Canis lupus familiaris: one gene and its partner. The protein of the gene in region 1 binds, or shares a complex with, the protein of each later gene. Links are inferred from orthologs where the notes say so. Each region holds a gene or a part of one and is shown in the gene's direction. Other genes may lie near its edges.

Evidence for each region. Proteins that work in one complex are often made in the same cells at the same time.
Region 2: the proteins of WNK4 (region 1) and KLHL2 are in contact, whole or in part, in a crystal structure (PDB 4CHB), measured with the Homo sapiens proteins. The link is inferred for Canis lupus familiaris from reciprocal best matches to the Homo sapiens genes WNK4 and KLHL2. Residues at the interface, in NP_115763.2 of Homo sapiens: Glu557, Pro558, Glu559, Glu560, Pro561, Glu562, Ala563, Asp564, Gln565; in NP_009177.3 of Homo sapiens: Arg345, Phe361, Gly363, Ser364, Leu365, Arg366, Thr392, Phe408, Gly410, Ser411, Thr412, Gly413, Ser438, Ser439, Tyr455, Ser487, His504, Arg534, Tyr583.

The regions. Positions count from the first base shown.
Region 1 is NC_049230.1:20,099,938-20,103,577, reverse strand, and holds part of WNK4 (serine/threonine-protein kinase WNK4), read left to right. Parts: intron 1-3,335; coding exon 3,336-3,473; intron 3,474-3,640. UniProt on the Homo sapiens protein: Serine/threonine-protein kinase component of the WNK4-SPAK/OSR1 kinase cascade, which acts as a key regulator of ion transport in the distal nephron and blood pressure.
Region 2 is NC_049236.1:61,745,760-61,749,407, forward strand, and holds part of KLHL2 (kelch-like protein 2), read left to right. Parts: intron 1-480; coding exon 481-590; intron 591-1,250; exon of another isoform or gene 1,251-2,460; intron 2,461-3,648. UniProt on the Homo sapiens protein: Substrate-specific adapter of a BCR (BTB-CUL3-RBX1) E3 ubiquitin ligase complex that mediates the ubiquitination of target proteins, such as NPTXR, WNK1, WNK3 and WNK4, leading most often to their proteasomal degradation.

The DNA.
Region 1 (3,640 bases):
CTGAGGCAAGACCACACTGTCTTTTGTCAGAAGAAGGTCTTTGTGGGAGACTAGTTTCAGTGGCGTGGGCAGGGATGCCAGCCTCTGTGGTGAAGGAGAAAGGGGAATGAGAGAAGCATCAGGCTTCAGGAACCCTCTTTAAAGCTTCTTCTTCTCCATCATGTCATTCACCTTGTGTCCAGGACAAAGACAAAATATCACTTGGCTCTTGGGCTTATCATCTTTCCTCTAGCCACACCAGTTTCTGAATGGTCCTCTGAAGAGGCCAGGTGCCTCTCCACTTCTGCCTCCATCTGCTCAGGGGTCTCTTGCTTCTCTACTAGGTTTCAAGCCCACTCAGATCCCACACAGCCAAAGCGACCCCTCCCCCTGACCATTGCCCTGTTTTCTCTCCCCACCATTCCACCATCCACTCCTCTGCAGCAGAATTATCCTGAGACTTGAATCAGCCCTTGCTTTCTGCCCCTACACAATTAATGGCTACCTGTGGTTACAGAGTAGGTCCCAGTTCTGGAGCATGGCCTTTGAAATTCCCCGCACTTCCAGCTCTGCTCTGGTCTTCACCGCTTTGTGAATATGCCATGTCCTTTCATGCCTCAGAGCTATCACTCATGCTGTTCTCTCAGCTCTTCTCTCCAAAAGGACAACATGGAATGGAGGAAAGGGTAGGCTTTCACATAAGATCTGAGTTCAGAGTTCCACTGTTACTCACTAATTTGGTGAACTGGAGCAACTTTTTTAACCCCTGTGAACCTCCGTTGCTTATCAGCAAAATGCAGATCATCATACCCATTTTGCAAAGATGTTCTTTAAAAAAAAAAAAAAAGATTTATTTATTGAGAGAGAGAGAGAGGCAGAGACACAGGCAGAGGGAGAAGCAGACTCCATGCAGGGAGCCCACCTCGGGACTCCATCCCGGGTCTCCAGGATCACACCCTGGGCCACAGGTACATAATTTATGAGAAGTTGTAGATATAGGAGAGATGAAATTATATGAGGAGTACCCACACGTGATAGGTTGCCACGCGGCATGATCCGATGAGAGACAAAATGATTGCTCAGAGTCCCCTATCTTAGAACAAAGAGAGGCCCGAAGAGGATCCACTGTCAAGCACCGCCGAGAAGGGCAGGTGCCGAGGTGAAGCCCTGAGTCCAGGTTGGCTGTCAGTTTTATTTAGTAGAATGTAAAGTATGTGGAAACAAGGGAGGAAAAACAAGAAAGCAATCCTGTGAGGGGCGTCAGGGAACTGTATCTGTGACCATCTGTACAGGTCTAAGGAAGCATTAACCAGGGGGCTTAAGGGGACAGAAGAACCGACCTCAAGAGGCCTGGCTATCTTATCCACCATCATTGCTGTTTTCAGCATGTACTGTTTTCAGTACAGACACATGGCAGGAATAATTGGCTCTTGCCACATGCATAGAGCTGTTGCCATTTATGCATGTCCCTATTCTTTTTTTTTTTTTTAAGATTTTATTTACTCATGAGAATACACTGAGAGGAGAGAGAGAGAGAGAGAGAGAGGCAGAGACACAGGCAGAGGGAGAAGCAGGCTCCATGCAGGGTGCCTGCATTTCCCTATTCTTATTGTTTCTTTGACCTGCTGAGGTCTTTTGCTCTCCCATGATAGGTCTTCAGTGAAGGGTTGCTTTCTTTCTTTCTTTTTTTAAAGATTTTATTTATTTATTCATGAGAGACACAGAGAGAGAGGCAGAGACACAGGCAGAGAGAGATGCAGGCTCCATGCAGGGAGCCCAGTGTGGGACTCAATCCCAGGACCCCAGGATCACGCCCTGAGCTGAAGGGAGGTGCTCAACCACTGAGCCACCTAGGTGTCCCTAGAAGGGTTGCTTTCTTACTCATCCTTCAAGGTTCAGCTCTGTGAAGCCATCCCAGCTTCCCTTATCCTCCTGGGTGACATGATCTGCTCTCTCTCTGGAATGGCATTTTAAAAAATTGTGGCAAAAAATACAGAACACAAAATTTACCGTAACCATTTTTAAATGCAGTTCAGCAGGGTTATGTGTATTCACATTGTTGTGAAACGGGTCTCCAGAACCTCTTCATTTTGCAAATCTGGTGAAACTGTACCATTAAGCGACTCTCCCTTTCTTCTAGCTGGTTTAGTATTTTATCTATACCTTGATCAGAATGCCTTTCTTACCATGCCTTTGCAATATATTATGTATATATGTGTCTCTTCGGCTAGATTTTGGGCTTCTTCAGGACCAGGATTTGTTTTATGCTTCTATGTATTCCTCACCTGGAACAGTGTACCTGGACCTAAAACAATGCCTGGCACATAGTATGTGCTCAAGTGTTTGTGAAATTGAATGATACATTTACTGTCTTTTGTCTTATTTGTACTGTGTGTGTGTGTGTGTGTGTGTGTGTGAGAGAGAGAGAGAGAGAGAGAGCACTTGGATAGTACACTTCATAAGAAGTGCAACTCCCTGCAAGAGCAGGAGTTGTGTCCAAAAGCATATGATGCAATAGTGGAAAGAGCTCAGGCTCTGGCTTTAGACAAATCTGGGTGCAAACCCTGTCATTTTTGGCAGACTGAACTCACTCTTTTTTGAGCAATTGGTTATCTTTTTTTTTTTTTTTAATTTTATTTATTTATTCATGAGACACACAGAGGGAGAGAGAGGCAGAGACACAGGCAGGGAGCCCGCTTCTTTCTCTGCCTGTGTCTCCACTTCTCTCTTTCTGTCTCTCATTAATAAATACATAAAATCTTAAAAACAAAACAAAACACACACACAAAAAAAAAAACGCTGAGCCACCAAGGGAGCCCTGCAATTGGTTATCTTAACTCTAAAATGGGAATGTTAGGGATCCCTGGGTGGCTCAACGGTTTGGCACCTGCCTTTGGCCCAGGGCGTGATCCTGGAGTCCTGGGATCGAGTCCCACGTCGGGCTCCTGGCATGGAGCCTGCTTCTCCCTCCTCCTGTGTCTCCCCCCGCCCCCCCCCCCCCACCATGTGTGTGTGTCTATCATGAAAAAATAAATAAATAAATAAATATTTAAAAAAATAAAATGGGAATGTTAGTACAGATGCTGGAGAGTCATTGTTGGCATTAAATGAGATAAGACATGTAAAACACCTGAGCTATAATGCATACTAGGAATGTTAGCTCCTGTCTTCTAAATTTATTTCTCCTTACACCATATGGTTTCTGGCACACAGTAGATACTTATTGAATACTTGTTTTAGGTTGGTGGTTGGCAGAGCAGTGGTGTAAAGGGTTGGCTTTGAAAGATCAGTGCAGCAGGGAGGGATGAGTGGGGATAACTGAGCCTTCTCTGCCCTTCCTGCTGACCCCTTGCCAGGTATATAACGAGTTCATTCTGCCCTCGGAGCGAGCTGGCTTCCTGAGCCGTATTCGGGAGATTATCCAGCGAGTGGAGACCCTATTGAAGAGAGATACTGGCCCTGTGGAGGCTGCTGAGGACCCCCTGGGCCCCCAGGTCAGACCCCTCAGGTCACTTCCACCTCTCTGCTCCAGATGTCATGATTCACTGCCTTCACCACTCCCCTTGGCTCTAACTCCTTCATCTCTGGGACCCCTAAGACAATGGCTTTACCCCATTTAAGAATCTGATGAAAGCCATGGGCCCTTGTTCTAGAAAATTGT
Region 2 (3,648 bases), on another chromosome or scaffold:
CTCTCTCTCTCTGTGACTATCATAAATAAATTTAAAAAAAATTAAAAAAAATAAAGTTTTCAAATAAAGCAGGTTTCCCTCCTTATTCCATTAGGTTTGGAAGTATTTTACATTCAGGGGTGTAAAATGTACACCATGTACTTGATTTATGTCATCAATAGGTTTTACGTATTTCAATACTGAAAATCTTATTACCACATAAGGAATACAATGTTAACTCAGAAGCCCCACCATGTGATACAGAGGCGGGCAGCTGTAGGATACCCGGCTCTCCTACCTGTGCCTGTACTTTCTTATTGAAGTAGAGACCACTTCCCCTGAGTAGCTGGTTTGGGTTTTGTTGGTTCTTGCCTGGAGGAAATACAGTTGTTTTTCCTCAGTCTTAGGTTAGATTAAGAAAAACCTCCTCCTTTTGAAGCAGTTTGAAGCTGGATAACACAATGTCGGTGTTAATGGATTTTATTTTTAACCTCCCAACAGAGCAGCATTTTGCAGATGTTGTACTTAGTGAGGAATTTCTCAATCTCGGCATCGAACAAGTGTGCAGCTTAATCTCAAGTGACAAACTTACCATTTCCTCAGAAGAGAAGGTAAGTATGTTTTTCTTTCTGGTATATAGTGACGGAGTACTTTTCCTTTTTTTTTTTTTTTTTAAGATTTTATTTATTTATTCATGAGAGACACAGAGAGGCAGAGACACAGGCAGAGGGAGAAGCAGGCTCCCTGTGGGGAGCCCGATGCAGAACTCGATCCCAGGACCCTGGGATCACACCCTGAACCGAAGCCAGAGGCTCAACCCACTGGGCCACCCAGGCATCCCTACTTTTCCCTTCTTTATTTCACTTTGTTTTGTAACTTTGTAACCCTCTATGTGTAGCAACAGCCAGTGATCTTTGATCTGGAAGTTATTACAGACTCAACTAGTTGACTTGTTGATTGTGCAGATTAGTTTCTTCAGGCCACAGGAAATGCCCTGAATTGCTAGATGTTAGAGTCTTGCACTCAACCCCCACACCAAGAACCAGCACACCTTAAACTGAGCCAAGTCCTTTTGGGTGCTGGGTTGCTTCCCACAGTTAGATGCCTCTAAAAATTATGACCTAAATGCCATATTTCTCAAACCAGAGTAGTTTCACCATTATGTGAGTGGGAAGAAATTATCAGGGATAACAAAGTAATAGCTTGTTCTAGACTGAGCATTCCTTTTTTTTTTTTTTTTTTAAAGATTTTATTTATTTGAGAGAGTGTACAGCAGTGGGGGAGGGGCAGAGGAAGAGGGGAAAGCAGACTCCCAGCTGAGCAGGGAGCCCGATGCGAGCCGGGCCTCCATCCCAGGACACCACAATCGGGACCTGAGCCAGAATGAGGAGTTGGCTGCTTAACCAACTGGGCCACTCAGACACCCCACCTGTACCTTTCATATTGGTGGAGAAAGAATCTTCTGTTAGTGACTTTTATTCTTTGGGTGGGTGTTATATTCAGGAATTGGGGCACACAAGCTTGTGAACACACTGAATTTGGAGAAAGTGAAACTGTTTTTTTCTTTGTGTGCTTTGCATTTAAGGTTGTATGACCTGTAGCTTTATTCCTCAAAGTTATCCATCCTGCCTGGGCATAAAAAGACACATTTACTATTATATTTACCATATGAAAAAAAAGATGTGAAGAGTGGTTGTTAGATATGTCATCTAGTGCTTGAGAAATATAGAGAGGAGGAAAAGACATTGCTTTGCTATTCATATTTAACAGACACGTATTGAGTGCCTAATGTGGACCAGACGCTGTCACAGAGTCACAGCTACGGAAATGTTAACAAAATAGAAATCTTTACTCCATAGGTTAAAGGGACAACCATTGGGATGAATAAATAATTACGGAATGCTGTAGAGGGTATCGTAGGAACATTTCATCATTCCTGGGATGGGGATGCTGTTAGCCTGGCTCAAGTTCTAAAAAAGTATATGAGTTTGCCCGGGAAGTCAGGATGAGTGGGCGTGGGAAGGGCATGCCAGGTAGGGGTAGAGTATGTGAATGTAAAAAGGGTGTGAAAGGAATCATTGCATTAAGTTGGTTCAATATGTTTAGAGTCTAGGATATATATGTTTGACAGAGCGGTAGGAGATAGATGGGAAGATGGCATAAAATGTCTTCTCAGCTGTCTTAAAGAACCTTGACTTCATCCTCGTGATGAAGAAGATTCTTTAAAGGGTTTTAAGTGGTAGGAGAATGCTGTGGTAATACCCACATAATAGAAGTGGCATGAAAGCTGTCCGGATTTCCTACTGCTGCACAACAAGACACCCCAAAGTGTATGTAGTGACACAAAACAATAGCCGCTTTATTATACTCACCATTCTGTGGGCAGAATTCACTCAGGGCACGTTGGGACAGCCTGTCTCTGCTCTGTAGTGTCTGGGCTTCAGCTGGCTTGGCTTGAATGTCCAGAGAGACCAGCAATGTCTAGAGATGACCAACACATTGGGACAGCTTATCTCTGCTCTGTAGCGTCTGGGCTTCAGCTGGGTTGCCGTGAATGTCCAGATTAGCCATACTGGAACTTCAGTCGGTCTGCACATGGTGTCTTGTGGGTCCAGAAAATCCACATTGGCTCCCTTCATTCACTTGTCCAGCTCCTGGACTGCAGTTTGGTTGGTATCTCTTTCCACTTCTGTCCTCTAACCCTCTCCCCTTCCCTGCCCTTCCCTCTTTGGGGCTAGTTTGGGCTCCTCATAGCATGGTGATCTCAAGTAATCAGACTTCTTGCGTGACATCTGTCTTCCCCCAGATGAGCATTGTAAGAGACCCGAATGAAAACTGAAACGCTTCTTATCGACCAAGCTTAGGAAGTCACGCAGCACTTCTGCTGCATTTTTTAAATTTTTTATTTTTTTATTTTATTTTATTTTATTTTATTTTATTTTATTTTATTTTATTTTATTTTATTATTTATTTTATTTTATTTTATTTTATTTTATTTATTTATTTTATATTTTATTTTTTTGGTGACACAGGGCCAACTTAGAGTCCCTGTGGCAGGTTCACTGCATAAGGTGTGGATACTCAGAGATGTGGTTTATTAAGGGACCATTTTGGAGACCAGCCGTCAGTAGTGTGCTGACTGAACCCAAAGTGGGGCAAGGGTCAGATAGGAGGATGTTGAGGTCATACCAGTGAGCAGTAGGGTCTGACCTAGGATGGTGGAGACAGGTGGAGAAGAGAGAGTAGAGCTGAGAAATAGTAGACAAAATTGACAGGATCCTCTCTATTTCTAGCACCCAACACATACAGGTACTTTGTAGATACTTGGTGACTGAATGAATTAAAGAGGCATGTTAATTATAATGTAGATTTTTTTACTTTCATGCTCTATCCCAGCATCAACAGAAATATTTTTTTGTTCCTAATAATCCAACTACCTATTATCAGGCACTTTCCACAAGCCTTTAAAAATTACTGGATTATGTATTCATCAGTCTGGAAGGAAATTATATAGTCACGTACTGTCTTCATATTAGCTCATTAACGTTTTCATAGGTGTATGTTGTTAAGTTGTAATGCCCTTATTTTTTTTGTTTTTATTTTATTTTGTTTTTATTTTATTTTGTTTTTAATCTACTATTCAAAAATAGTAGATTTAATATATTTCAT